2 linked regions of the Struthio camelus genome follow. The protein of the gene in region 1 interacts with the protein of each later gene in a biochemical or structural test. Links are inferred from orthologs where the notes say so. Each region holds a gene or a part of one and is shown on either strand. Other genes may lie near its edges. The genes, in order: SCN8A and FGF14.

Evidence for each region.
Region 2: the proteins of SCN8A (region 1) and FGF14 form a complex in vitro, tested with the Homo sapiens proteins (2 studies listed by BioGRID). The link is inferred for Struthio camelus from reciprocal best matches to the Homo sapiens genes SCN8A and FGF14.

The regions. Positions count from the first base shown.
Region 1 is NC_090969.1:1,275,294-1,290,807, reverse strand, and holds the start of SCN8A (sodium channel protein type 8 subunit alpha), read left to right. Parts: upstream 1-8,765; 5' UTR 8,766-8,844; intron 8,845-12,904; 5' UTR 12,905-13,013; intron 13,014-13,295; exon of another isoform or gene 13,296-13,537; intron 13,538-15,514. Other genes in the region: TMPRSS12 (transmembrane protease serine 12), read right to left, coding at 1-42, 647-749; thiol S-methyltransferase TMT1A, read right to left, coding at 2,044-2,280, 3,202-3,705; thiol S-methyltransferase TMT1A, read right to left, coding at 6,055-6,291, 8,086-8,580. UniProt on the Homo sapiens protein: Pore-forming subunit of a voltage-gated sodium channel complex assuming opened or closed conformations in response to the voltage difference across membranes and through which sodium ions selectively pass along their electrochemical gradient.
Region 2 is NC_090942.1:162,781,438-162,796,760, forward strand, and holds the start of FGF14 (fibroblast growth factor 14), read left to right. Parts: upstream 1-7,125; 5' UTR 7,126-7,540; coding exon 7,541-7,748; intron 7,749-15,323. UniProt on the Homo sapiens protein: Probably involved in nervous system development and function.

The sequences.
Region 1 (15,514 bases):
GAAGGCCCGAGAACGCGTCTGCGAGCGGCCGTTCTCCACACTCTGCAAAAGAGAGCAGAGGCGCTTAGGTCATTCAAACCCTGAAACGCAGCTTTAGCGGGCTGGCAGCGGGTTCTGGCTTTTTTTTTTTTTTTGGGGGGGGGGCATCTATTGTGGTATTTGGCTTTTTTTTTTTTATGTTCGCAGCTGGAGCTCTGATTCTGGAGGTCCCTTGGATTGTTTCTTATGCCATAAGATATTTATTTTTTCTGTCTGGTGGGGTGTGCGCTGTTACGTAGCTGCACGCGTGTTTATTGTACACGGCCGTGTAGGCGTTCGGGTCAGCAGCTTCCAGCCACGGTACGTGGACTCCACTGGGTTCCCGCCCCTGCTGCTTTTTTGGTATTGATCTCATTTATGCATAGGCAGAAACGTTTCCCCGCCTGTTTGTGGGTAGCCGCGGCGCGAAGCTGTGCGGCCAACGGGCCCAGCCGCCCGGCTCCCTCCACCCTCCCGCCGCCGCCATGTCGCTCGGCCGGGCGGGACCCGCCGCCGCCGCGCGGGGGCTCACGGGAATTGTAGTTCTCCCGAGCGCTTGACCCTGCCCGCTCCAGCTGTTTCGACGCCCGCTGCTTTGCCGCGCAGCGCCCAGGGACAGCGGCGGTACCTTGAGCGGACATCCACGGGGCCGGGGCCGGGGCGCGGGGCGCGGAGCCCACGAGGAGCGGCGGCAGCAGCAGCAGCGAGGCGACGGCGAGCCTCGGCCGCATCCTCCGTCGACGGCACAAAATGGCGGCCGCGCCCGTGTGGCGGGGCGCGTGACGCGCCTCGGCCGCATCCTGCGTCGACGAGCACAAAATGGCGGCCGCGCCCGTGTGGCGGGGCGCGTGACGCGCCTCGGCCGCATCCTCCGTCGACGAGCACAAAATGGCGGCCGCGTCCGTGTGGCGGGGCGCGTGACGCGCCTCGGCCGCATCCTGCGTCGACGAGCACAAAATGGCGGCCGCGCCCGTGTGGCGGGGCGTGTCACGCGCCTTGGCCACCAACAGCCGGTAGTTGGGGGGGGGCAGCACGATGGTGGCCCTGCTGCTGGCCCTGCGACCCTCCCACCTCCGCTCCAGTGCTCCGTGGCAGTGCTTTACTAACTGAGCATCTCATATCGAGCACCGGCTTGGCACGCGGGTGACGTCGGTCCTCCAACACCCCAGCGATTAACAGCACTACAGCCTGTTAACAGCAGCCAAACAGCCGCTGGCCTTGGGATGGGCGTCCTGGGAGGAGGCCAAATACCTGTTCCCCAAAAACCGTTCTCAAATACCTGCGGCTAAGCAGAGGTTGTACCTGCCCGTTCCGTAACGCTTTTTCCCCTCAGGAAAAGGGGAACAGGCTGAGCCAGCAGGACAGAGAGCGTGCTGCCGAGTCAAACAGCGCTATGGCTGCGCCGTGCCCTGCTCTGCCCGCTCTCCGGCAGCGAAAATCGGCCTGGGAGCACCTGGAGGAATCGCCTGCCGGTCAAGCAGACGCTCCCCTGCATAAGGAGTTAACGCCTTTTTTTTTTTTTCCCTGCCTCTCTACCAAAATGTTTGTGCGCTCTCCTTGCCGCTCCAGCAGGTCAGCTTTGTTTTGAAACTTAAGTTGAGCTTAGATAAGGCGAGGAGGTGTTTGAGTGTGTGTGTATGCTTCTGGCGGCTTCTCAAACAGCCCCGTACCTGGGACGGTTTTCTAGTGTTTGCGAGGCGCGGCTTGCACACTGGAGTCAATGGAAGGGTTTTATACGTGCCCAAGCAGATCTGCTTTATTTTTATGCTAACTGGAACTTCAGGATACCAGTTTCTGATGCTTTACCTCTAGAGCATGTCATCAACATATTTATTTCCATTGCAAGATTTATAGAAAGCTGAACCTCTTCCTCATTTGCCATTTACAGCCGAAACTTAGGATAACTGAAGCTTAATCGTGTTAACCTGGGTTCGGTTATTTGGATTAGCATATGCCATTTTGCTGCTTTGACTATGTCAAGGAATTTCTCTGAGGACAGGGGAGAAAGTTACAGCGCGATATGAATTACTTCACGGCATATCCAATGATATGAGACTTATTAGGCATCCAGGGTAGAGGAACGCTGATGTGTTGTAACTTCAGTTCGGAGAAGTTGGCCTGTTCTAGGTTTTTCCATATCTCTCTTGTTAGGCAACACCCAGCAAACACGAGCTTCCAAGTGGGATATAAGATCTGCTGCCAAAAATAGTTCCAGCTGGAATGATCAGCAGCCACGTGTTCTAAGAAATAGAAAGCGCCGCCCTGGGGAAGCAAAGTCATCTTAGAATACCATAGAAGGAGCGAGCACCCGGCAGACCCTTCCCTCTCTGACCCTCCTTTTCTCAAACACGATTCCATGCACGGGAAACTCGGTTTGCTCACTCTGACAGGCTCTTTCTACCCCTTTCCTGCCTGCTTTTTACTTCAGTAATGTCGATTAGAATTAATACGAGCAGGAAACTTGCAGAGATTCAGAATGCATATTCTGAAAGGATGAAAGGTGTACTTATTTGATCCCGTTGTTCTTAGAGCAATGGTTTGTTCTTTGTCTTTTTGTTTAAATTACAGTTGCTAGCGTGTCATATTTCAAAGGAAACTAGGTGAAGTGCATAAACCCTACTAGAACTCACTGGGTTTTTAACAACCCAAAGGACTGTATTGAAAATACCATTGTAAAGGCTGAAATTCTATTGCAAAAAATAGCTTTTTTTAATCCTTAGTTTGAATAGGACACTACAGGGAATGAAGGCATTTAATTAGATTGCTTTAGTCATACAGGTAGATCAGACCCTCTTCTAAGAGACTAAAGCAGTTTATTTAAAACATCGACTTTCAGCCTTGATCAGAACTTCCCCTCTTCTCCCCAAAACAAAATCTGGCGTGTGAGGGGGCAGAGACAACAACAAAGGAGCCGGTTCTGTACAGCGATGTGCTGTAATTACTTACAGAATTAGTGGCGGTTCTGTTTACTTAACACGTTACTCTTAAGGCTGAGCTAAGACAGGCTGAACAGTGTGCTGCTACTGCTTTGCACCATTTAGCATTGCAGAGTGGTTGTAAATCTGATTTCTACTATGAAAATCAATGGGGTCTGACTTGTAAGCTCAAAGGCAACTTGTTGCTCTGGTGCAGTGCCTCTGGAATGGATGATCAAAGTAATAACACAAAACTTCAAATACTCACCGGTCTGAGCACTCGCAGTACTTCTTTCAAGGTGCTGTTTATGTCCCGCACAGAGCATAGGACTAAAGTGCAAACGACTGCGTCCACAGAACCGCTGGGCACCTGGCTCAGGTCTTCTCCTGCAGCTACTAAGAAGCGCTCGTAGTGCAGGTGCTGGTTCTGGCTCATGCTTTGAGAAAGGCCTTTCTGGAAGTGAAGGTCTATATCGGTGCACGTCACTTTGCAGCCTGGTGGGTAGAACTGGAAGTTACTACCACAGCCGGTCCCGATCTCCAGCAGCTTCAGCTCTCCTGAGGGGCTTGTAAATTCGGGCAGATTACGAAATAGTTCCTGTTTTTGCCTCTTTGTTTTCCTGTTGTAAACTGCAGCAATCTTCTCGAGGATGAAAGGAAAAAATATCTTCTTACAGAAAGGCTCCCATATACCCAGGAACGATAGCAGATAGATGGGCATGGCGAGCAGCATGAAGCAGGCACGGAAGAGGAGAATGCTGGCCTCCGTCATTTCCAGCGTGGGGGCAAAGAATCTGTGCTGCGCAGACTGAGTCTGTACTGTGCTTCGTTCCTCTACGTATTAGAGCACTTGAAACTTAGAGCTGGATTTGTGTGCTTGCTGTGTTCCTCTTGAAGTGCAACTCTTTGGCCTGATAGGGTGGACTTTTCTCTAAAGCTGATTTTAAAGTCCAGTCACAGGCAAGGAAGGGAAAAACAGCACTGCTTACCAAGCAGTTACCGTAATGTCCCAGCTCAGGCAAAAAAGTTGCTGCCAGAAAAGGAGCTGCCAGGCAGTTAAGTAACCTAGATAAACTGAAAAGTACATCTTTGTATTTGACTATTGGCAACATGTCATCAGTCACCCTAACCTGGAGTTCAGCGGTTTCAGATTACAGTTTACATCTCTTAAAGAAGCCATAGCTTGTCTTCCGTGAGTGCCTGTAGGAAGTTAATCTAAACTCTGGATTTGCTGTAGATAATGAATTTTGTTTGATTAACATTTTGGTTAAAACACACACGTTTAAGGGTTATTTATGCCCTTGTTTTAGGTATCTAAAGTAGCTAGATGAGCTAGTCAGCTGCTCGCTGTGTGCTTTCTCTGCAGCAGCAGCTTTCAGTCTTTGCACTTCATGGACACCTAACATATTTTGATTTGTGGATGTGGACTCCTTTGCGGTGAATGAACTCGCTTTTCTTGGCTACCTTTCAGATCTTTGGTGGGACTCGTGGCCCAGAGATAAAACCATTTATTAATTCAGTAATCACTGTCTATGGTAGCTTGGTTTTCACTTTATAAGCTTGAGTTGACAATGTACAGTCCATTTTATGCTAAATGCTTTCTTTTAAACTTTTTTAACTTTGCTATCACCAGTGTTTTTTTTCCACAGGCTTTAGTAATAGCAGTGTAGATTAGCCACTGGCAATTAATTGCTCTGCCTAGAGGGAGCCTGGTAAAGGGACAAGGGGACCGTTTGCACCGCTCAACTTCAGATCCCGAACTCAAGCAGTTGTATTGCGAATTGCCCTGGAGGAGTTTATTTTTCTGTTGAGCGATAGGTAGCCTTGTTGTCTGCGGAGTTACCTCCTCCCTCTAGTGGTAATAAAGCAAATAAAATACCCAGCATATGGCAGCATCATTATTAGACTGCTTTATTACTAAACTCTCTTGTCATACCTTCATACCGCCACCACGTGCTGACTACATCAGAGAAACAAATCTAAACAGTGGGAATTACTTCAGATGTACTTTCTGTGTAGACCAGTTGTCTGTTTGTGGAGCACAAAACAGAGGCATTAAGTGCATTCTTTTATTAAATATCATTTGCACCAGATTTTAATTCTTAGATGCTTTACTGTGAGAAATCAAAAGGAAGGTTAAACAGTGGTCAAGATAGCAGCACCTTCTCCTGGTGTCCTGGGGAAGTTTAACTGGAAAATATTCCTAATGAAACGTGTGGCTTTAAAAAACAACAACAACAACAACAACAAAAACTTGACATCTTAAAGGTGTAATCTGGACTGAAGGGAGAGTAGAACATTAAGTTTAAGCATAGGTTTAGCTTCTTAGCAGAGCACGACAAAAGGGCTGTAAGAGCATGGCTTAGTAGAGACCATGTTACAGCTGAGATGAGGTTTCTGTCGCCTGATTTAACCAATGCCAGCTTTCTCCCAGCGTAAGGAGAAGTTCAGTTTTTTGCTTTGTAGGTTGTAAGTTAAATCTAGGCTGACAGCGTTAGCCTCTAATGGCCAGTGGAAGCTATGTATAGTGAACTGGTGCTCTAATGGGCACTTTCCTGAAATAAACAGTCCAGTAAGGGAGGACTCGACTGGCATGGGAGAATGAACGCCGGCTCCTAGTGGTGTTTTGTAATGGGAAGACTGAAAGAAAAATGCTTGTACTGATGCTATATCTATTATGTATGTGTCCTGAATCTGAAATCTTAAAGGCTGAGTAATAGTCTCTGCTATTAGAAAGATGTAAGCTCTCTCTACTTGTTTGCATAGATCTTCTGTTCCCTGTCTTCCCTCTCCTCTTTCTCAGCTCTAAGATGGTGACTCTTCCTTTATTTTGTATCGCACTGAAATGCGTTCTCTGTTTTTGTTTCCAATTTGCTTGGTCCGTGTGCCACGGCTCTGCTTGAGAGCTCCATCCAGAAAACCTGTCTAACAGATGGAAGAATGTGATTCTCAGTTTGAACGAGCTATGGATGCTCAGGAAGATTTCCATGTTTTTATTCTGATTACTTAGTTGCTGCGTATGGGTTGACTGTAAGGCTACTATTCAGTGAAAAATACTCTATAGAAAGTGTGAAAGGAGCTACTGAAGGGATGTTGTGTGCCCTGCAGCGCTCACGGTCATTCATTTTACTGCATATCCAATGATATGAGGACTAGTAGGATTCCAGTGTGGTGAGACACGTATGCGCCTCAAGTTCAGTTCTGAGAAGTTAGTTTTCTCCAGGTCCTTCTGTGTCTCCCTGCTCAAGGAACACCCATCTCCAAGACACTTCCAGACTGGGTCACAGACCTTTTGCCAAAAGTAGGTCCAACTGGAACGATCCGCAGCCACGTGCTCCACAAAGTAAAAGGCTCCACCCTATAAAACAATACCATAAAAAAAATAGAAAAAGGACTTAGGAGGTTTCACCTCTGTATGTAGAATTTTATTATTTACTTCTTAGCCAACAAGCTGCCTTTTTCCACCTCTCTGGATAGTGGCCTCCTTTCCTAGAGATTACGCGCGATGGATTCATGTTTGTTTTGAGTAGCGGAGCCTCTGTAACGACCTCCCATTCAATCTGGGTAGAAGCTAGTGGGTTTTACCTATTTGCTGATAGGTGCAGCTTATAATTCTGCAAGAGGCAGTATAGTCTGGTGGTTGGGAATTGCTGTCACAGGGTATTGAGCTCTGCCCCATCTGCCTTGGGTGACCTTGGACAAGCCACTTAACTTCCCTGTGTTTCAGTTCTTCTCATCTGTAAAATGTGAATAAACAAGTTGCTTGCCCTACATACCAGCAATTAAAAGAGTTTATTTCTTAATGTTTATAAAGCATATGAGATAGCTGTTAGCAAGCAGAAATCAAATGCCGCGGAGGGGAGAGAGAGGCTACAACTAGTATATACAGCATGTGATAGTTTGTTCTTTGTCAGCCTTACAGCCGCCCTCAGTGTTCTACCGCATCTGATTCAATGCCTTTCAGTGTTGAGATTTGCCTTTTATCTGTTGTTTATAGTATTGTGAGCAAGCCTTCTCCTAACAGTAGAGGCTGTTTAATGGATCCACGTACAGAAGGCAAAGAGTCTGAGCTGGTGTTTCCCTTCCCTTCTTAGTGGAGCGTATTGGGTGTGATCTTATTCCCTCTTCCCTAGTATCGCTTTGTAAGCGTGTGCAAGGTTACCTTGAAGAAGGAAGTAGGCTTTTAGCCCCATCCAGGGATGAAGTCTTATTGACACAGGAAGGTTCTGACCGGTTACATAGATTTAACCCAACCTATGTGGATATGAGATGCCTTAAGTTTAGTTTAAACCCTTCCCCAGTTATTCTGAGATACCTGGTGGGGGGGAAAAAAAAGTATTTTGTAGTAGGAGAGAGGTATGTAAATGTGTACGAATGTGGCGTTTTACAAGTGTCACCTTAGATTATAATGAAAATACCTGGTCAGGAGAACAAGGTCTAAAGGTGAGAGCACTTGCTAGTGAATGCGTAGGACAACTATAAACTGAAATTCTTGTTTATCTTTTATCTGAGTTAGAATTCACATCCCTTCCTGCTTCTCTCCTTTCGTGCCCTTTACTTCCACCATTTTATTGCAGCAATCGTTATTCTGTGCTGCTCTACTCCTGCTCCTCCCAGCCCCTGGGACCTCCTGGGTTTTTTGGGGTTTTTTTTTTCTTTTTTTCTCTTGAAACAGAGTTTTGGTCTTGGAGTTTTTGCAGGCTGCCCAGCTGCAAGCGCAGGAGCCAGGGTGCTCTGAGTAGCTGTCTCCCGATTGCCCCAGCAATCAGCACGGCCTTGCGGGTACTCCAGGCTTTCTGCGTGCTTGGCAGTGCGCTAGTCAGGTGCTAAGGAGAGAGCGGTAAAGCAGCATGAACTAGTTCTTCCATCCGCAGGTGAAATTACTTGCGAGTGGTACGCTGTGCAGACCAGAAGTACCACTTTGATTCTGTTGCATCTGAATGTTACAGGATACAGGATGGATGGATGCTCTCCCTTGTGATCGCAGAAGGGTCTACAGGTATTTACAGCACAGGAGAGTGTGAAGAAATTGGCAGGCCTTCTCCAAAATGCAAGATTGCAAGAGAGAAAGAAAGAGAATTTGGCAGGGGAAAGGAAACCAGAAGTGAGAGCAGGATCACTTCCCCCCCCTCCTCGCGCTGCCCCAGCTTACCAGCCTGAGCACTCGCAAAACTTCTTTCAGGACTTTGTTGACGTTGGTTACAGAGCACAACACTAAGGTGCACACCACCACATCCATGGTGCCATCCGGTATTTGATGCAGATTCTCCCCAGAAGCAACCACCGAATGTTCAAGCTGGAGGTGTGGGTTCTCCGAGAGGTTCTTGAGGAGGAACTGTCTGAAATTGGGATTAGGATCAGTGCACGTAAGCCGGCAGCCTGGTGGATAGAACTGGAAATTGGTGCCAGTGCCTGTGCCAATTTCCAACAACCTGAGCTGGCCTGAAGGGCCGGCAAATTTTCTTAAGTTGCTGAAAAGCTCTTGTTTCTGCTTGTAGACCTTATGGTTGTAGATTGGTGCAAGCTTGGCCATGATATGTGGAAAAACTTTCTTATAGAAGGAGTCCCATAAACCCATGTAGGCAAGTATGTATACAGGCAAGATGATGAGCTGAATGCATCTCTGGAGACAGGAGATGAGGACCATTGGTGCGGAGCCCCCGAGCACGGCGCGGTGTGAAAGCAGCGCCCAGCAGCCTGCACCGACAGCTCCTTCCAGCCGGTGCAGTCTCGCCAGCCCAGCGTTAACCTCTGAACCGGATGTGTCCGTCTTTCCTGGCTGGCCACGCTCCAAAATCCATCTTAAAGTGACAGTGCGTCACCGCTTCAGTTGCACAAAAGTGCTGGAAACATCTGAAAAGGGAAGGGAAATCCAGGCGTGCAGAGCATTCTTGCTTCACGTAACAGATGTGTAAGGCTATAGTTGCTGCAGACGTCAAGTTGTTTTCAATTTATTGCCTGTGAGTTGAGGATATACTTAAAGGTTGAACTGGGTGGAATCTGGATGCTCAGCTCCTGTCTGGTTTGAGCCTGGTGTCTGGGAGAAGCAACTGTTTTAACCCTCACGTGGATTTGGCCTATGGGTTTTGTTGCCTGCTGTATCATCATACCTCTGACCATCTCCTGAGCCATTGGGGTAGGGTTTGCGGCGCACTTCAGTAGTAGTCGCCTCTCCCAGTAACTTGGGAGTTTTAGACGTTAGCTCGTCTTGTAGTTGATACCGAGTTTGGTTAAGAACGCAGTACGCTTGTGTTACGGAAGAATTGCACTCAGGAGACAGTCAAAGTCTAAAAGACTGTAGCGATCTCTTTAGCTATCCACATGTAGCTACCTGCTTAAACGACATAGTCCTTCCGGCTACTGAGCTTTGTTTAGCTTTGGTTTGCTTGCATGGTGTTTGTTAAAAGCAAAGCTATACAGTTGCACGGTTGTTATTACAGAGGCAGAGGCGCCCTGCGCGCGTTGCAGACACGTATGACACGTCGCTGCCCGCAAAGCTTATGAACTGACCAGGCAATTCGGAGGTCGCTACATAAACGGGGAAGGGGAGAGGAGTGAGGGCTATAATGATGGAATAAGGAAAAGGGAGTATCCTTGTCAAGCATGAAACTGTTAGAACTGAGCAGCTGTGTGCTCCTTAAAGAGACAGCACGGTGTCAGCTCGTTATTGTTCAGATCAATAATTGCAGAGTTATCTTTTGTTCTGTCACCCAAGTCCTCTGTGTGTGTGGTGTTTTTTTTAACCCAAGGAAGGGTTTAATGGTTTTTATTTGCTTTACCATTCAGATTACAAGCCAAATTATTACCTGGCGTTATGTTATCTGCTTATATATTTATTATATTATAGCTGCTATTACATTTAGCTGCTTTTCAAGGCCATATTATTTTGGAAATATTCGTAAACTCTTGAGTGCACTCATTTTCTGAGGGCTCCCTTTCAACATGGCTTGGGACAGTGAACTAGATATTTAATAGCACAGCTGCTGTTGTGAAGATACCGAGGTTCTGAGAACTCCGTGTGCCCCAACCCTGCCTTCTCTTATGTCAAATTAGTCTGAAAGTGCTTCTATCTCAAGTACCGTATCTCCTGACTGGATGATAGTTTTTCCTGTCAAAGAAACAGAGAAAACCAGCCAGAGGAAAGGTAGGATTTATGCCGCAGCAAACATTCAGTGCAGGGATGATATTGTTACCCCAGTGAAACCAGCAGGTATTCTTTATACCTCCAGCAGGGCAGCCTGGAGTCGGAAGGAGAGCAACGATGGGGTTGGGAGGCCTGATAGCTGAACAGAGCACTGCACTGTTGTCGGCAAAGGCCAGCCATAACGGCAGCAAGAGGGTGGATGGGTGCAGTCTGCAGAAAGTATAATTCCGCTCGGGCGTTATGCTGAACTTCACGCCTCTCGTCTGCAGTAGTCTCTAGTGGGCTGTGGGGGGATCATTTAGGTCAATAAGAACCTTCTTTTTTTTTTTTTTTTTTTTTGTTATGACTGCTCAACATATGAGCATTGACCTACTTATTTCTTTAAGCAACTTGCTCAGAGATGTCTTATACAGACTGCAGTAACGTCCCTGGGGCCCTGGAACGTCCTTGAAGGATGTATTTTCGGTGTGCTGCTGGCACCCATTGGGAATGATGTGCCCACCGTATCCACTAGACCCGCGGGTGCCCTCGCTGGAAGCCAGGGTGTGCTCCTGCACGGCCGTCTGCGTGTTGATGGTCTTATCCCAGTACTGGCAGCTTTGCCCTACAGTGGGATGGGTGCAGCAGTGTACCGTCCCAAGTGTTGGCACCGTTATCTATGTAGAGAAGATATTTTTTGTTTCTTAAGTTGTATGACTTAATCTTGTTTTTTGAACACTTTAAAACTCTATATTTGGGAGATGCTATGTAAAGTCCAGTTTGGACCAAAACTTTCTCCAAATCTTTGGATTTCGGTAGCAGCTTATTTAATGTGTATATAACTGCTGTTGCTTAGTTCTGGTTTGAAATATCTTAATTTTTTCAGGTTGCATCTGCCCTTGTGTTACATTAGAGCAGTCCCATAAAAGTCAGTGCTGTACAGTGAGGGCAGATTTAGTTCCTGTGTCGTATCCAAAGCAAGATAAATGAGTTCTCAAGCGCAGTGCTGTGCCCTGCGAGGTTGTTTGCTCAGCACACGGCATGCGATGCCTGAAGCTCTGCTCAGAGGACAAGATTTAAAATCCCGTGAAGAGGGCATTCCTGCAAGGTGGATTTAAAAAAGAAAAAACAGCAACCTAATAAGAGCATTTCAGGTTGTTGTCTCAGCAGCACAGACACAGTCCTATTGAAAACAGGAATTACGTAATGATAAAAATTCATCCTAAAATTCTAATGCCAACAGTGTAAGCTATAGGTATAAAGGGGGGAGGGGAGGCGTTCCCTGTCTTCAATGAAGAAGGGTAACTTTGATCAATTATCAGGATTCTGTTATTCACTATTTCACTGGAAAAAACAGTAATCTGCTTGTATGATGGGAGTGTAGCTGAGAAGAGTAGACTTTAATCTCGTTGGTGCACTGCTGGGCATTTAGCAGCTCCGCAGGTCCCTGAGCAAACTGGCAGGCGTGGAGGAAGGATCTTTGAGGAGAAACCCAAAAAGACTTCTTTAAAATACGTCATTGCTTGGTCACTTCTCATAGGACTCCTCCCTTCTGCTCAGGATTCAGGACAAAATACAAGCGTCCATGGCCAAGAAGGCGTCCTTCTCTTGATACAGTTTCTTATCTGGGGCCACCACAGAGTACTCTGTCTTGATGCTATCCTAAAAGGCCGAGGGCTAGAAACCAAGAGCTGCAGAGCTGAAGAAACAGAACGTACTAATTATGCAGTTTATGCTAGATCTGTGCTGGCAACATGTGGGAGCTTCAGGTTCTCCCATGGAAGCAGAGTCAAGTGCAGGTTTTCACCCAAGACTGCCAGAGTTTGTGACCCGTGTGCAGTTGGAATAAGGCAAGACAGCGCCGGGATTTACTTAGCAAAAAACATTAGCATGCGTGATATCAGTGTCTTATTGATGTTTTTATTTCCTTTGTAGAATCTCATTGTTATCTGATGATCTTTGTGATTCCATAGCCAGCTGCTTTCTAACAGCAGTCTTTGAGACAAACGTAGGGGTTAAATCGATTACAGGGGTTTCATGAGCATCGAAGCCAACGATGCCTGATTTTCTGTGGATTTATGTTGCGTAGTAAACTCTAACTGGAGTTTTTTCAGGAGCATTTATAAAATGCTCCTGTATTTGCTATGCATTAATTTTCTGGTCTCTGATAATGTAGATACGGAGGCTGCAGCCTTTCCCTTGTTCACTACAATCTTAGGTGGTACTTGAAAGATTTCCCTTCTCAATGCAATTTTGTGTTTTCACAAAACTTTCTGGAACTTAGTTATCTTTGAAACTACTAATCCTCTGTTAAAACTAGTCAAAAGGTCAAAAATGCTGAGCTAGGAATATAGTTACATGCAGACGGTGTGATCTCAGAACTCAAGCGTTTTCAAACCTGTTAATCACCAAAACACTTACTAATTTGATCATAGGTTAGCGGTATGGTTGTTGGCTGTGAATTATTGAGGATGCCCTCCTTGTACAAACTCACCCATAGACATCCAAAATCACACTGATGAACGTTTTTCATAGAAAACAAAAGGGAAAACAAAGAGCTGATATTTTGCTTCATGCAATGGAAATCTTGAAGCTTGACTCATGATGGAAAGTTGCACCAGCGCGTGATGCTGATCAGAGAGGTCGCTTTTAATATCGATAAAGCGAGAACATGGAGGGTCTTTCCTGAGGAACCTGATGTCAGCTTACCAGGTGAAAGTAAAAAGGAAGATTATCTTAAAAAATAATAATAATAACGGAACCAGGTAGTAACGCGGTCGTAGCCACAATCTAATGATGTAAGCCAGTGGCGTGTGGCTGGTACAAAGACTATTCCTTTTATGCACAGTTGTTGAAACCTTTCACGTAGGACGGACCCACTCCTCGTGTGTCAGTTACGGGGCTTTTTTGCACTTCTTGCTGAAGCCTGGTCTACACGGACAGAAAGCGAGACTGAGGTGAGGCCCGGCCTAAACGAAGTTCGGGTCCGGCAGCGGCTGTTTCTGTTGGGGTCTCGCCGGCGCCCGTCGGTCGGCGGGGACCCCGGCGCCCAGCTCGGCTCCCTGCGGGGGGTCGGGGGGGGGGTCGGGGTTATTTGGCGCCCCCCCCCTCCCCTCGCCGGGGGGGACCGCGGCTGCCGCTGCGCTCGGGAGGGAAGCGGCGCCGGGGGGTTCGCTGGGTGCCGGCGCAGCGCTGCGCGCCCCGCGGGGGGGCCGGGCCGGGGCGGGGCGCTGCGCGGCGGCGGAGCCGGGGCCGGAGCCCGGGGGGGTGTGTGTGTGTGAGGGGGGGGGGGGGGTTCCGCCACGCTCCCTCTGCCGGCGCGGCCCGGAGTCATCAATGATGCAGGGGCAGGACGCGCTGCGCCGGGGGAGGCGGCGGAGGCAGCGCAGCAAGATGGCGACAACCGCAGTTCCTCCTGCAGCTCCCGCCGCGCCGCAGTCCGGCAGCGCCCCGCGGGAGACGCGCTAGCGCGGCCGCCGCAGTAAGTCCAGCCCGGCCGGGGGCCCCGACGGCTGCGCGGGGCCGCGCCGTCCTTCGCCCCCTCGGCTTTTTGGGTTTTGTTTTTTTTTTTTTTCCCTCCCTCCCCCCTCCTCCCCCATAAATCGCTCCCCCCCCCCCATCCCCGGCTCCCCTCCCCCGCGGGCGGGGGCTTTGCCGCAGAGCGGTTTCCCAGCGCCGGCGGCTCCCGAGCCGCGGAGGTCGGGCTCTTCCCCCCCACCCCCCCCAAAACCCCTCTTCCCCTAGGGGCCGCTTGCCCCCCTCTCCCGGGGGGCCCCCCCGCTTCCCCCTCCTCGCCGGGCCGCTGTCCGCATCGTGCGGCGGGAGAGGCCGGGAGCCCTCGGCATCCCTCCCACCCCGGTCCCTGCCGCGGAGCGGCCCGGCCGCCGCCCCCGAGGCTCCCCCGCCGGCCGCGGGGGGAGAAGTTGGCGGAGAGAGTTCCGCGGGGGAGCTCGGTGGGGCGGCCTCGATGCTTTAACTGACCTAGACGTGGGCGTCGAGGCTGGTGCCCTCGCTTCCTCCCGCTGCACGGATTTGGGGGAATGGGGAAGGTAGAATTTTTTTTTTTTTCCCCCCTCCCCCAGGGAAAAGGAATTGCCTGTTCACAAGTTTTTTCTATTAAAAATCTGGGTGTCTTCTTCCCCCCTTCCCCCCCCCCCTCCTTTCTGGTGCAAATTGTGCCCAGCTGACGTGGGGGTGGGGAAGCCGGAGGAGACTCCACGGCCGGAGCTGCGGCTGAGCCGAGGGGAAGTCCGAAAGTCTGCCGGGGAGGGGAGCGTGTGCGGCAGGGGCGGCTCTAAGGGGCTTGAGCTCAGCTTCTGGAGCGGGGCTGCAGGGGTGGTAGGTTTAGACGCCGCTTCCTTTCCGTGTGCGCCGCGTTGGAGGCGATTGGCTATGGGACCGCTCAGGAGTCTTACAGGTGGGGTCGTCTTTCGGGGTGCCGGTCGCGTGTCGACATGTCACCTGGCCCTTGTAACACTGCAGCAATCCGCCCCGACGGGAAGCCGTGACCCGTATGTCCTCATTTCACACCGGCAACGACTCAAACGTGAGCAGCGAGGCTGTTCCGGGAGCCTGATTGCCCCCTGCTAGAGTCCAGTGGTACCCTCGGGGGGGGGGGGGGAAGGGAAAAGCAGTACCGTTTTCTCGTTACTGATGTCCGGCCATCCGCTTCAGAGCCGCGGGTGGACGTCGGGGCCGGGCGCGGCGGGCGAGAGGCGGCGCGTCCCGGCGGTGCTGAAACGGACAGCGGCGGCCGGCGGGGCCGGGCCGGGCCGGGCCGGCGGCGCCTGGCCCCGTTGCGATCCCCCTGCCCGGTTAGGTAACCGGCTCTGGGCAGGGAAATACCCAGCTCGAGGTCCGGTTCGTAATTCTGGATCGCTCAGCGGAAGGAGCGTCCTGTGAACATTGGCTGAGCCGAGGTGGGAGAGCTAGGTTTGCGACGAGGAGACAGAGAGAGAGCGCGATTGCGTGGCGCAAGAAATGCGGCATGGGTGTTTTGTTTTAGTTTTCGGTTAGAGGGGGAGAACTAGGGACTAAATCAGCACTGAGTGAAAAGAGCAGAGCTCGAAATTCTAAAACACGTTGTCATCTTCTTCCCCCTTCTAGTTGCTGTGTCTGCGTTCTTTTGTGGGTTTGTTTAGCTTGCTTTTTGATTAAAATGAACCGATAGGGCTTTTCTTTACCTATCAGTTGATGCTCACTATTTTTCAATGGCTCGAGAAGCGGTCGGCACCAGAGGCCGTATGTGACTCCCCGGGGCACACAGTGTTCATGTGGTCACATGGTTTCCATTCACTATTGATTGCCTTCCTCCTGGAGCGCTCACAACTGTCATTGAAATAAACAATACACTAGAATCAATAATGTGTCGTTAATGTTCAACGAAATAGTCTGGATTACAGAAGATGTGGTAAAATAATGTAACAGAGGCATCAGAGATGAGAGCAAGTTTCTCTGC
Region 2 (15,323 bases), on another chromosome or scaffold:
TCTTTGGTGATCACTCCTAATGTTCACAGTGCTGCATTGTTTACGCATTTCACTGCTGTTCGCCTAAATAGCCTGACAGCCCACTGCACCACCTTTTGTGCCCATGGCTTTAATTGGTGCAGCTGCTGCCTTAGGGTGCTCTGCTAAATGGCGCCAAGGCAAATATAAACTGTCTGCAAACATGTGTTCAGGCTTGTCAGCACTGTACTTCTCTTTATCTTGTCAGGAGCTGAGTCTTTGCTTTCTGTATCAATTACATTCTCATTTAGATCAACATATATTTTATCCTTCCTTCTTGTATCGTATCATGAAGTATAAGATATCATGCTTTATTTATACCTTCATCAGCAGCTGCCGGTTATCTACTGCAAGCATCTTGCAGATACATTGTTACTCCTATTGCTCAGGTCAGTGACAAAACACGACACTATCTTCTTTCTCTAATAATTTGATTTCTTCACATCTTTCAAATGCAATAAATATAAGCTGAGACACAAACATAAAAGCCTTTCAGAAGCTCCACTGAAGCAGAATTATTTTGTTCCTCTTAAACCACTTGAAGCATTTTGCTGTCCTTTACTGACACAATTTTTAATTTAGCCACAAGAGTTCTAACACAAATGTTTTGCCCTTTAAGAACTGTAAGTTTCACTAGTTAGTCTTCATAGCAATTACAGGTATCTGAAATTAAATCAAGCAACTACAGATGCCATACCTTTGTATTACCTAAACAACCTAGGCTAAGCTATTTTTAAATCTCTCCTCTGTCCTAAAATCTGCAGTATTTGCTTAGAATCAAAGCTAATTGCTCCTTCAGTGCCACTGCCCTTAAATCCTTGAGACATTCCTTCTCAAAAAAATGGCCTTCATTTTTTTTTATATTTCTCAGATTGCTACTCTTTGCCCCATAGTACGTGCTCTTGCACTTTATGAAACTTCTATTATTGAAGGTAAGGAAAAGAGGCACAATCTGCATTTGCAAGCAGTGCTGGAACCAGGTCTATTTAAAAATGAATGCCTTCTGCTCTAGTACCCATAGCTGCATTTTTTTTTCACAATGATCTCACGCTTACTACAAATTATGGTCTTTGCAATGACTGACTTGTGCTTCCATAGAGCAAAACACGTCAGTATTAGGCTACTAATTTAATAAAGGATGTTGTCTAGACCCATGTCATAACTAGACTGTTTTACAGATATTTGTATGTTGCGTAGTGGCCAGGGCTCTCCGAAGTCTCGGTTAGCTGAGCCAGGCTTTGTGCTGAAGCCCGGCAGGAGCCGGTACCTGGGCACTTCCCACCAGCACAGCCGGGAGATGGCTGCAGGTGCAAAAGTTCAGTCTGTGAATCCCTCACCTGTCACTAGTCCCTAGCCCCTGCCAAGTGTCTTAAAGGCAGTTGCTGCCTTCTGATTGATTTGGTTAGGTAGAAGTAAATTAGGCTGTAGCTACCTGATCAGGCACATCTGTCACAAATCTGATGCAGAGAATTTTGATAGGCTTCCTGAAGACAAAACCTATGTGGGAGCCTACACTGATTCCTCCTGCATCCTATGTCTTGCCACTTGCTGGACCCTCTGCTCTGCTGGAGCGTGTGTTTAGTCTCTCACTTGGAAGAAGCGGACTTTATACACACCCCAAAGGACTGATACATGGTTATGTTCATTGGACTTCATATGTGACAAGGGAGATATTCACACAGTTAAGGCACTCAGGAACATTTCAGTGCCTCTATGAACATCTCTCATTATGCTTTCTACAGACTGTTGAATGAGTTCAATATTGTCTAGCACAGGAAAATATTTGAGCTGTCTCAGTTTGGCTGTTTCTTCCACATTAATTTTTTTTTATTCTTTCCTGCAAAGGAAGACTTAGTCCAGAAACAGTCTTTGTGTTTTGCAGAGGCCAGCATCCTGAGGTCTTGATCCACGACTAAAGCTCTTTGGCATTACTACAGTAATAATAACAAATTGTTCAGTAAACTGATCTTGGCACCTCCCTGCAAAGCATTTCATTGTGCTTCCAGTCCAAAAAGAGTAACAGAACAGGGTTTCCGAGTGTTAGAACGTTTTTATAACACAGTCCGCATCATTCTCACATCCCTCCCACCACCCGGTTATTCGCTCATGAAAGCTTACTATGCTGTATGGAGACAGCTGGATTCCTCCCACAATTGCTCCTCCCAAACAGCAGGACCTATTTAGGCCCCTACTGAGGAGGCAGCTCAAGGGCCCTTTTCCTCCCGTTTGACTAGGTCCTTCTTTCCCATACATGCAATGCTGCTATGGAATAGCAGGCTGTAAGTAGGACACAGATTATGGGGGTCTCTACTTATGTGTATGAAAACATCCCCTTGCTTTAGCAATCTAAAATAATCCCAGGACCTCCATACATGCACCAGTACAGGGCACCCGTGCACCACTAGTTAAGGGCACTATTCCTGTTAGTTGCTGCAGGAACGCCCTGCAGCTCTTTCATCTCCTCAGAACAACAGGGAAATCCTGATATTCTACTGATATTCTACCTCTTTTTGAATATACCTAATTAGGGATTTGGCTAGCATCTGCTTGTGGGGAGTTTATAGGGTACTATTTCTTGTCTAGTCCACCTTCACTCTCAGAGCTATTCAGGACTCATGCCTACCTCTCATTCCCTCCCTTCCTTTTTCAGATGAGAAATGTGATCCTTATAGTCCTACAGAAACTGGCACTGGACTGGAATGAGTGGATCAGCACGTTCTGACCTGTAAAATCATCCCATGTTCCAACTCACCCCTTTCATCTTCTCTGGGTGTGTGCCCGTATGCTGAATCACTGGAGAATGGCAAGTCCTCTCTCTCCCATTTCCTACGAGGAGCAAGGTGAAACTTCCAAAAGGCTAGATACCTTTATCTCCATTGCTATTGATACACTTGTATTTCTTTCTGATGTTTCTTCCATGGAATAGTCCAAAAATCAATCAACAAATATGATGAAGAATTGAGCCTAATCTACAGCTCCAGACACTACTCCCAGCATAGAAGAGGAAGAGGAGGATTTCAGACCTAGCTGCCTCTTAGAGTGACAATAGCCTACAGCTGTAAACACGCAGTTAGTGATCCAACTTGTGGATAAGACACCTAAACTTAAGAATCTGCACGTAATTGTCAACCTGCGAGCTGAGTATCTAGGCTCCATTGTAATCAATAGGGATGTAGAGACTGTTCAATCGCCCATGCATCTCTCGTTTGAGATGCTCCAGGATACACTCCATGGCCTCCGCCTGCAGCTACAGAAGGGCTTGGGTCTCTGACAGGTTTAGTATCATAGCTGCCATGCCTTATGCAGCAAGATATCCTAGGGAGTCTCAAATGGCTTTAGATATCTAAGTTTCAGCAGCAGTTTCAAGATCTCCATGGAATATAAATGTCACAGGTAGACATCTAAACGTAGGTGTCTTATTCTGTCAGGCAAAGCTCACCCTTAATCATTAAATGATAGCTACAGATCTTTCACTTTCTAGACTATATGGGAATTACACACTCTATATTTTAGAAGACACACGAGTTCACAGTTACATGTAAACAGTTAATCTTGTCTAACTTACTGTTGTAACCAATGCACACAGAAACTTCAGGCTGAGGGGGATATTCTGTGCTCAGTCTTACTGACTAATATGCAAGCTGGCTGTACGGTAGGTGTGCTTTGACAGCTGGGGAAAACTGTCTCTCTATTTTCAAAGGACTTCCAGAACAAGGTTTTAGTTAATTTTTCTTGCATAAAATGGAGTCCTCTGTCACCACCTCCCCATGAAATAGGTTAGCTGGTATTTGGGTCTCCTCCACCACCATCACCCTGGCCTCCCAAATGGCGTCTCTAAGTAGGGACTGCTTTTCTCTGACCCAGATGACAGGAACTCTTGGTAATATGCTGTATTCACTACAAGAAAGGGGACTCTCTCCTGAAACCTGCGATCAGAAGTCTTCTTGGTAGTGACTGAGTAACCACAATATATCACTGGTGCTTTCTCTTTTTCCCCCACATGGGAACCTGAAATTCTTGCGGAAGGAGCTGACCAAATATCACCTGTTGATTCTTCATTTCTCTTGACCTGAAAGGACTATATAGATGACATTTTCTTCCCATCTTCGTAACAGGTCTCCCCATCTTTAACATGTGTTATCCCCTTTCAAGTAAATTCTTCTTATTCCATGATCCAAAAAGAGATGGGAGCACTTGAGGAGATGTTTTCTTCTTTTTTTGAGGTCTTTTTTTGATTTGATCATTTGCACATTGTACAAAATAAAGTATGAAATTTATTTTTGCTCATGAATCTTCCTACTGTGACAAAATGCTTACACCTAGTTGCGTGTCACTTAATGATAGACCATTTACAGATTAATTAAAGTCTTGAAAAGGATAATTTATACTTAGGCTAAATAGGTCTAAGTATATATTTTAGGCTCTTTAATGTTGTTATACATATTTCACCAGAGAAGAAAAGACTTGCTCCATTTATTCACATTAGGTCAACTCTTATTTCTAAAGGCTAATCTTTCCATAACTTTGAGTTTGCATGAAGAGGTATTCTGAACAAACTCTTGCCCTTGCTCAGCTATTCCCCTGCAGGCTTGCCTTGTTTTGGGGACCTGCTCAAAGCGTGTTACCAGACAGGCTCAAATAGGCAGGGCTCCAAACATATTACCAGGTATATAAGGTGAATGTTAGTCTTCTCAGTAGAGATATGCAGTTTCTGCTCCTGTTCTAACTCCAGTAAACCTTAAATCATATACTACCGTCAGAATCATCCCCTTTTGTTCTGTAGCCACAATCCCTGACCTCTGAATGATGATGAGCGGTTAAGAAGTTTTACTTTCATTTAAAAAGTAGAGAGCTACATGCTAGCTTTGAGGGAGGTATATAAACCAATTATTGGGGTGGAAAGCTTGTCAGTGACTTTTTGTTTAGTACAGAACACAGATTGTTTCTGGCTATATAATGCTGGCTGTTTTGGTCAAGGAAAGATAGAAGGAGATCTCTGATATTTTGGGAAGACTTTAGATCAATTTTATGTTTGTAGGGAGCAGTGACATATGAGCAGCCACGAATAGCACTAGGGCTGCTGCGAACTCCCAGCCAGCTGGCTGCAGGTGGCTGAGCCAGCTCTTCTTCTGAGCAGCCTGTGCAACTTCTGGACACCAGGAAGGACAGTTTAGTAGCTCAACAGGCAGCACAACCAAGGGGACAGGAAAAGGGACCAAGCACAACATTGATTTCTTCTGTGACTCATTTCTAACCTTTCTTAAATTTTCTTGCTCAAGTTTTGTTTGTTTTTCTTTTTCCAAGCTTGGGTGCCTAGAGGTAGACACCTACCCCATACACATAATATACTGCAAACTCCATAAACCACTTCTCACAATATAGCCCTTCATTTCTGTGCATCGTTCTTTATCTCCAGAAAATAGGATAATGATGTTCATATATCACATAGACAGAGATTTGGCAGCCAAGCTGTTAATCTGCATGTACAAATATCAAATCTCATTGGAATCAACACAAAACTATGGTGAATTTTTCAGTTTCCAGCACTTCTGTTAGTGTGCTGGCTAAATATTAACTGCGAGGGTTTCCCAAATGGTGTAACCAGAGAGATATCCTCACCAGGGAGGAAGAGGCCACCCTCACCCTGCATTTTTCCTGCTTTAGCCTTACACTTCTTGGAGCAGCGGCAGCTTCCGTCGCTTCAGGAGAAAACACTAACTTCTGACTGTGCCCGAAGGAATGTAAATGTGAATAGAAATGTCATAGGTGGCAACAGTGTTGAGATACTTCAAATTTTTAACTTGTTACTGAGAAAAGTCAATGAGGAAAGGCTGGAACTTTCTCCAGAGAGATAAAAAGAGGATGTAGAAGACCTTGGCATCGGGAGGCAGAGCAGGAGAGGAAAGAAAGCTATTCCCTATCCCATTTCTATTACCTCAGTTTTCTGCTTCCACCTCCTTTTCAGCTACTCCTTCCGACTGCTACCTCATCTTCTTTTCCCTCATTTATTCATGCTCTGTCCCATCACTTCCAAACCCTTCCAGTATCTGCACAGTCCAGCAGAGCATCGCAAGGGGGAAGGAGGAAGGCGGGCATCAGCCTCCAGCTGTGCCACCACTGCCAAACACCAGTGCAAGCGCATGGCTCCAGGACTGGCTCTGTGCTACTCAGCCTGGACGGTGCAGCCACAGAGGCCGTGCGGTAGCCGGCCGGGGAGGGCAGGGGAGAGAGCCACACTGCCTGCGTGGGACTGTGCAGAGCAGAGTGTGGCAGAGCTCAGGAGCTGCCCTGTCTGCCTTTGGACATCCCAACCCAGCTGAGCAGCACAGGCTGTTCTGTGATGGCCTTGTTGGGTATTTGCAGTGTGTGGGAAGCCCTGTTGTGCTGAATCCCGGAACGTGATGTACCACGCTAACATAAACTAGATAGTGTCTGCCCTAATCCGGGGCATACCAAAATCATGCCGAAACACTTTTTAGGTAGGAAGCCAGTAGGGACAGCGCCTGGGAGCACACACGTTCAGGTTGATTTGTAACGGCCCTGTGGGCCGCTCGTCTCCTTCGAGCCCGCGGTACGAGCAAGCCGGCCGGACACGAGCGGGTCCGGGGGAGGAGAGGCGCCGAGAGGGGAAGGAGGGCAGCTCCGAGCAGGCCGCGGGGCAGCGGCGGGGTGGCGGGCGGCCGGGAGCGGGTGCGGCGGCGCCGCCTGCCCGGGGCGGCGCGGAGGGCAAGAGGGGGACCCTGCGCTTCGCTCCGCGCCGCTCCGCGCCGGGCCGCACGTGGGTACGTGACGGCGGGCCGGGCCGGCGGGGCAGCGCCGGCTCCTCCTCCCCCGGCGCCCGCCGGCGACTGGGCGCCGAGGCTGCGGCGGGCGGCGCAGCGCGGCGCGGCGCGGTGCGGGGAGGGGAGGGGAGGGGGGGGTTGGTGGCTGCCTCCTGCGCGGCGCGGCGCGGTGCGGGGCGCAGCGGCAGCCGGGGCCGGGAGGGGAGGCGAGCGGCCCGCGCGGGCGAGGGCGGGCGGCGTCGCGGGGGGCGGCGGGGACTGCAGGGCAGCGGCGGGGGCTGCGGGCGGGGTCCGCGCCCGCGGCCGGCAGCGGTCTCTGCGCCTCAGCCGCGCTTCGGCGGGGTGCTGGTGGTGCGCTCTGCCGCCTCGGGGCTGCACAATGGCAGTCGTGCAGTAGGATGGATCCTGCCGTGGCTTTTGTTCTGCAGATCCACCCATCCTCCTAGCAGTCCAGTACCAGGCTATGGTTTTCTCTTTGGGGATCTTCGGGTGTTTTGCCGGTGTCTCTGATGAGGTTTTGGCCTCGGCTGGGATTTCACTACCTTACTTTTCGTTTGGCTTCATGCTGAAAAAGGGATTTTTTTTCCCTCTCTCCACGCTTTTGGTTCTAATCCAATGTTGATCTAGGGGGAATAACCATTCAGCCTGGCTGAAAAAAGCATCCATTGAAAAAGTCTCAAAGAAATATACCACGTGAGGAAAAAAAACTGGGAGAAGATCGGAATATAATCATTTTTTCTATGATAAAACTGGTGCCCCTCTTCAGGAGAACTGGTCTCAATTTATTATTATGCAACCACAAGGATCTCTTCTTTCTCAGGGTGTATAAGCTGCTGGATTGCTTTTCGCCCAAATCAATGTGGTTTCTTTGGAACATTTTCAGCAAAGGATCGCATATGCTGCAGTGTCTTTGTGGCAAGAGTCTTAAGAAAAACAAGAACCAAACTGGTAAGCAATCCATTGCATTGCGTTGTTTTTCTTTTATGCTACCCTGTCTGTTGCTCGCCGAGGTAGATCTGCAATCCTGCTGTGGGGAGAAGGGGGAAATATAACGAGGCCAGCACGAACATGCATGTGCATACGTGTATGAATAAGCAAGGAGCAGTCTGGATTAGCTTCGGCCACTGTCACCACGGGGGAAAAAAAAAAAACAAAAAACAAAAATTCAAGGCGACCCCAGGCCAGTCTGTATCTCCTAGTTTGTATGTGCTATTTCCAAGGAGGAAACTTTTATACCGCTGCCCTTTTGAAGGGCTGTGCTCAGCCCACCCTCTGCCGTCCCTGATCCGACCCCTCCATGCACACCCCCAGAGGGGCAGTCAGTTTTGGGAAGAGGAGCCCGGCTCTCCTGTGCTCGCGTGAGCCGGCCCTGCCTGCGGTGGGTGACCGTGCCGGGGCGCCGGTCCTGCACAACACTTTCTGATTAGCTTGCAAAATATTTGCCCCCCCTCCCCAAAACACACACTTCGTTCGGCTTTCTGAAGTCAAGCCCGACACCCCCCGGCCCGGGGCTCCCCATTAGCACTCACGCCCCCATGGCTCTAGGTCGGGAGAGTGGAGGGGGTTGAGGAAAGGGGGTGGACACCTTCCTGCGTGTCCTAGACGGCAACTAAACTACATTTTGCCAAGCAGCTCCAGCAGCACCACCTGGGTGGCTGCATGTCCCCCGCCTCTCCCTGGCGGGATGACCCCTCTGTGCACACACTGGTGTCTGTGTGAACGTCTCCATGTCTGCCTTATGGCGGGGGGGGGGGGGTGGTGGAAATCATGCGCTTCGGTTCAACCCGGCTCCAAGGGGGAAACTTGCAGTACATTACATAAGAAATGCAAATGCAGGTGCTTTGGGCCGCCCGGTCCCCGGGGGTCAGGCCGCTGCTGTTGCTTCCCTCTTGCTCTGGGCGCCGGTGCGGCCAAGCCCGCGGCTGGCGAGCGAGGTGCCAGCCGGGGAAGCGGTGCTCTCCGGGCGTGCGAGCCGGGAGCTTTTCAAGGAAATACCGGCCATCCCCGCCCCCTCACACCGGGTTTTGGTCGTCGTCCCCCACTCTCCCCTCCTCCGGCCGTGCTCGCTTCCCTCCTCCCCCCTCCCGCGGGCCGGCAGGTTGTCCGCAAGCACTTGGGTGCTTGGGGAGGCGAGTGCTGCCGGAGCCCGAGCTGTGTGGGGAGGGATGCTCGGTGCGTGTGTGTGTGTGTGTGCGTGTGTGTGTGCCGGCTGCCCTGCAGTGGCAGCTCCCGAGCAGGAGGCTCCTGACGCTGGCACTGCAGTGTAGTAGATCATAGGCTCTCGTTGCCTCTCTGACACCCCAACATCAACAAGCAGCAGCTCTGGCCGCCCGCGCCCCTCTTCCCCCACCCTGGGCAGCCGGCTTGCTGCTTTTCCCAGCTCAGGGCCGGTGCAAAGAGTGGAGGTGGACATCTCGGCGGATTTTTTTTGTTCCCCCCCCCCCCCCCCCCCCCGCTGCCATTTGCCAGCTCGGCTCGCTCCTTTCCTCCCCATCGCTGCCGCTGCAGCACAGAGCAGCCACTTCTCGGCATACCAAAGAGACCGAAATGCCCCCGCTGGAGGCTGGGCAGCGGCCGCAGCGCTCAACCTCCCGCTGAGTACTCCCTTTGCGCTGCAGCAAGGCGGCCACCCCCGCTTAGGGGGCAGCTTGCAAACCGTGTGTCACCCCGCGGCGGAGTGGGCCAGGCAGGGACAGGGCAAGCTGCCAGCTTCTCGCACCCACCGCCTGGGGGTGGCCCCTCTGCCCCCCGCCCGGGCAGGGTGTTCAGCGGCCGCCGCGACGGTGCCCCCCAGCAGGGGCTGGTGGCCAGGGCTGGTTTCTAGACCTTTCAGTCCGCATCCCGCTGGTGGAGAGGCGTAACAACCCCCCCCCCCAAACACACACAGACACACGCCCCCCGGCCACACCGCTGCCGCCGTGCCCTTTCCCCCGGGGGGGAGGGGGGGGCTGCCAGCACAGAGCAGCACCGCAAGCCGAAACCCCACGATTTCGGAGGGGTGGCTCGGGGGAGGTTGCTTGGGGGGCGGGGGGCAGCGATCTCAAAGCCCCGTAGCACACCTCTTCCCCTGCCCAGGGAGCTTGCCCCCCTCGGCAAGGGATGAGCGGCCAGCACCTCCCACCACCGGGCCCGGGCGAGGTTGAGCCCGTCGGGGCCGGCAGCCGGGCTGGCGGGGCGCTGGCTGGGAGCCCCTGGCCACCGAGGGTGCGAGCAGGCAGCGGTCTGTGTGCCTCGGGCGTGAGGGGTGCCGGGCACAGCTTACCCACCCTCTGCTCTCATCCGACGTGACTCCGGCGAAGGGGAGAGGAAACAAGACCAGACCGTATGCCTAATGCTAAAATCCCTTTCCAGAGTAGCATTAAACAATGATTAACTATTTGGAAAGGCTCATAAGCACTAATCTTCTTGACTGGATTAGTTGATATTCCGATAATCAGCGCTCTTGCTCGAGGGCAAAAGATGCCCTTCCTTCTTGCTCATATTTCCCCCTCCTGCAACGCAGCAGCGGGCTGGTGTCGTGTCACCCTCCCTCGCAGCCATCCCGGGGCCACAGCAGCGGTCTGCGCCCCGCTTTTGCGAGGGCAGCCCTGGGCCTGGGTCCAGCACCCCACACTGCCCCTGCCCTGGTTTCTCCGCAAAACTTCTGGAGAGCAGGTGGGTCTTTTGCTTTCAGAAGGTGCCACATGAACGAGCGGCTGCTGCTCATCTCACCGTGCGGAGAATCAGGCAGGTTAGGCAGCTAACGGTGTCTGTTTTTTTCAATTTAGCTAGCTATTCTTGGCCTGATGCACTTTTCTTTTTGTTCCTTTCAATAGTTGGTCTTTTTCCAGAAATGGGACTGGGTGGCTTGTTTCCAGGTAGTCTTTGCTTTGCATTTCCTGCCTGCCGCTGGCTGCAACCCTCTCATTTGTGCTCACCTCCTCCCGGGGCTCTCTTGCCATCCCCGGGGGCCTCCGGGTGGCCCTGCTGGGGCTACTGGCACAAAGCAGGGTCAGAGCAAGGGGCGAACAGGGCAAGGAAGGATGTGGAGTCCAGTGGGAGTTGTGCAAATCACTGGCAGTGTTGCGTCAGGAAGCTTTAGTTTATCCATCATAGACATGCAGGAGGCTGAAAACCCTTTCTATTTCAAATCCGGGATCCTGGAAAGAGCTGTCATTGATTGCTAAAATTATTTACCTATGTTATATTTCTTCACAAGGGGAAAAACTCTGACAATCAGTAAGTGTGGTTTTGCTTGCACTGATGGGATTTTTTTGAATTTTCCTGAGTCTAATAATGCAAGAAGAAACAATGCTCCCCGTATCTTCAGCATCTTGTCCAGCATGAAAATATTTACAATGTGTTAGGTTCCCTTGGCTTTGCTTGCTGTATGTAATCATTTCCACTTAACTCTGCCATTCTGGCGAGGCGTACAGGTGGAAAGGATTTTACAAAGTGTGAGAGAAAGGAGTCTCACAGAGAGTTAAAAGTTGCTTGAGCCCATAAGGCCTGAACCAGGGCCTGTAATGGTAAGATACCATCCTGGTGGCTTCCCACTGAGGGTCTAAACTGAGTATGTTCAGTTAGGGAAGGGCTAAGTAAGGGGGAGGATTTTAGCCTTGAGGAGAAATGGGGAAGGAGAGTAACTCTTAAGTATTTTTTGAAGCAAGTACAGGAAGTGACTAAAATTTTTCACCAAATGACAGCTGTTAGGTTGCCCATGGGAAATGAGTGAGTTGGCCAGAGGGCTAGATGCCCCCGTGGCTGGAATTGCTATCGCATTTCACTCGTGGTGGCAGCCCAGCAGTCAGAGGATGTATCACATTTCCCTCTCCATTTACCTCCAAGGAGAGGCATCTCTCCAACCTAGTCAAGGCTGTTGACAGGAGTGTAGATGGAAATTGGCATTACTATAAATATGTTGCTGACAGAGGAATTTAGCTTCTGTTAGTATCAATCCCATATCAATCTCAAGCACAAAATCTTTTTAAAAAGGACATCTGAAATGAGGACTGTGTCTAAACGGGGCTTGGTGTATAATCCCTTTTTAAACTCCTTCCTCATACAATAGTCAGACTGCTCTTTAATGGTTACTTATCATTCAAAAGAAGTTTCTAAGCATAGCCATGTGAGAATAGATCTGTTTAAAGCAGAGGCTTTGATCCTGTTGTAAGATACATATTGTGTAGCATTATTTGAATTCTAAGTAAGTTGGGGTCACCCGCTGCATTCCTTGCTCCTGGAAAACAAACCTCCCACCAAAAGACAAAAGACGTTTTGCCTAAGTAACAGCTGCAGGATTGGGTCCTTGAAGTTTCTTTCACGTAGGTCTGAAAAGCAGCTCCAACTGCTTAAATACCTACACTGTTATTAGAGGCACCACGTATTTCTCTCTGACAGCACTCAAATGTAAAATGGCCTATTTACATGTATCTCACCTACTGAAGTTTTGTCCTCAATGGAATACATTTCCTGAATTCATACAAATTTAATTATTCCTGATCAAACTAAATTGCATATTATACTTGTTAAGGGGTGAAATTTATGCCTGCTCATGAATCTCCCTACTGTGATAAAATGCTTACACCTAGTTCAATGTCAGCTAATGACAGGCCATTTATAAATGAATTCAAATATACAAAAGATATCTTAGGCTGAGGGAAAATATGCAAAGTGTATTTATAGATATCATTGGTTTAAATATTTATATTTATGCAATTTTCATCTGAAAGTGATATTTATTCTACTTGCCTACTTGTTAAGTGTATCAATTTTGAGGTAAGCTTCCACTGACTTCAAATCTAAGTAAGGAGTTAGAGGCTCAGAACTTGACCCTTTGTGGAGATTTTCTGTCTGGTAAATGTATCTGTCAAAATATAATCTGGAAAAGGGGGAGCTGTTTGGAAATCAGTTTTTCAGAAGGCCTTCATAAACTCAAAGAAATAAAAAGCAGTATGTTCCACCAATCTGTGATGGTGTCTTGTAGTTTGTGGCGTTGCTATTTTAAGGTTTTTGTATAATTACTCTGTTTTTTTGGGGGGGTATAATTATTCAACATGTAGAGTGAAATGCTGCAAGTTCAGAATGTGGTTGGGTAAACAAAGTGGCTGTGTGCAAATTAAACTATGCTGAGTATCTACAGCCAAATGTGCCCGTGAGCATGGGCTCCTCCTGGAGCAGGGTTCTTACAGTCAGAGATGATCTTGTTACTTTGGGAGCAGTGATTTGTTTCTATACCTAATTCTGTTTAAGATCCCCTTTATGTTTTTGGATAAGCTGTTTCTTCCCCATGCCTTGTTTTCTTACATGTTAAAAACTGAAGACAACGTCTGAGCATTGCATAAGTGTGCTGTTGATTGTTTCATCTGCTTTTTGCATTTCAGTGAGTGATAGCTTTTCAAAGCTAACTTACTAGCTTACTAAACATCTTACTGAGTAACAAAATGTAGATGGATTTTAAAATTTTGAAACCTCAGTGATGCAAAAACAACAAAAAAATTGTGGTGTAGCACAAGGCTTGAACAATTAATGTACCTGGAAGTTACTTGCCTCTGTTACAGAAGGGCTGTATAAAGTAGTATAGTAGTGTACCTGGCAATAAACTTTGCAGGTCCGGGCCCATGTTTAGTTTAGAAAGTGCCTTGCACAGAGCGTGTTTCAGCTGTCAGAACAAATGAAGTGAGTGGGAAGGAAATATTTTTATCTGAGACCATGTGATGAAGTGCTCAAAGCAGTATATTCATCTTCAGACTGGATACTAAAAAATTATTTATTGTGTTCTCAAAGTGGATCCTGAGAGGTTCTGAGCCACTCAGAAGTGCTGAAAATTATAATTGCAAAGGAAACTGATGGTGTTTGGCACCATGATGGACTGAATCCACAGTGAGCAAAATATATGTAAGTAACACTTTTTTAAGATATGCTGCACCAACGGTGAATAGCATATGAATAACAAACACAGCTGTTATCCGAATCAGGAACATGCTGTCTTGGAAGGGGGTCCTTTGCAGGCAAAACCTCCAAAATCATTAAGTGAAAGGCTTTTAATGCATAAATGGAATGCTTTTTTTTGTATGTCTGTAGCACACCCTATTAAAAGCACTTATATTGAATAGTAGCAATGGAAATAGTTGCCGATGAGACTGCATTGAGAAGTCAGAATAATATCTTCTGTAGTAAAATTCAATGCATTAATTCCAGTTACATATTGTGTCGAACATAAGCAATATTTTAATAGTTTGAGTGTTAATATTGGATGGTGGTGTGGGGTAAATGACAATAAATGCTACCCCGTTGATAACAGAAGTTGGTGTAATTTTAATGTCCGTACTTTGCATTTTGGTTCTGACACCTGCTTATTTTACTTTTAACTCGAAACAGTATGAGGAGTTGCACTGAATAATTTTAATGCTTGCATACAGAAGGCAGTATCTTGAAAATGATTTGGCTTAACCATTTTGTGGCACTAAAATTAAACAGATCCCATTTGACAGTAGAATAGTACCAAGGTTGAACATGTTGATCCTATTGGAATTGTTTTTGCTTTTGTTATCAGACAATGATACAAATAAGCCCTAATCCTCTGTGAAAACTTTAAGAAGACTCCAGAAAGGTCTGTATTTCAGTGAACTGATATGGGAATAAACTTTTCTGTTCTCTGAAGGTTCATCATGTCATGCCTGTTTTTTCATGCAGCTGTGTCGTTTGAAAAGATCAGAACATAGTAAGACTACAGAATGTGCAGGACCCATGCCTTAGCTCTTGAAGGTATCCTGTCTCCAACACTGGGAAGTAGATGGTATAAGAAAAATATAGGAAATGGGCAAATCCAGGTTTGTTCCTTCCTCTTATCTGTGCTCTCAGTTTTCAGCAATCACTGAAATGCCTTAAATAGGAGCTTTTCTTCAGACTACTACGTTTAGTAGCCTCTGAAGGAGATATATGCGTTCAGTTTGTCATGTTCAGTATCTTTTCTCGGCCATCTAAACGTCACGTGACAGTGAGTTCCACTGTTTAGCTATGTGCTGTGTAGAAACGGTGTGTGGAGGGCTTAATGTTTTGCTGGTACTCCTTTGTTCTTGTTCTTGAGCTGTGAGAAATAGAGGCTAATTCTGTCTGCTGTTACTTCTCCTTATTTGTGATTACCGATTATGAGGAATTTCTCATCTATTAGAAGATGAGGAGTTTTTCTTACATTGTGTCTTCTCCATCCTTGAACTGTCAAAAAATATACAGTATTTCTACCATCTGTGCTCCTTTGCAGTTTAGCTTGCCTTTGCTGAGGAAGTAGGATGTCTCAGGCTTTGGAGGACAAAGATAAAGGAGCTACTGACCTCCTTTGCACGAGGATCTGCCTCTGTGAGCCTACTGGAGTCAGAGGAGGTTTTTGGTTGTGTATGGGGTGTTTGCTGGGTGCTACCACAGTTTCGCCATAGCTCAGAAACTCGCAGAGCTGTAGTGCCGTAAGGAGGAGCAAGTCCCACGATGACAGGTTGTCTCTGCTTTCGTCCAGCTGAAGGGAGTTCATTCCTGTGGATTTTCTGG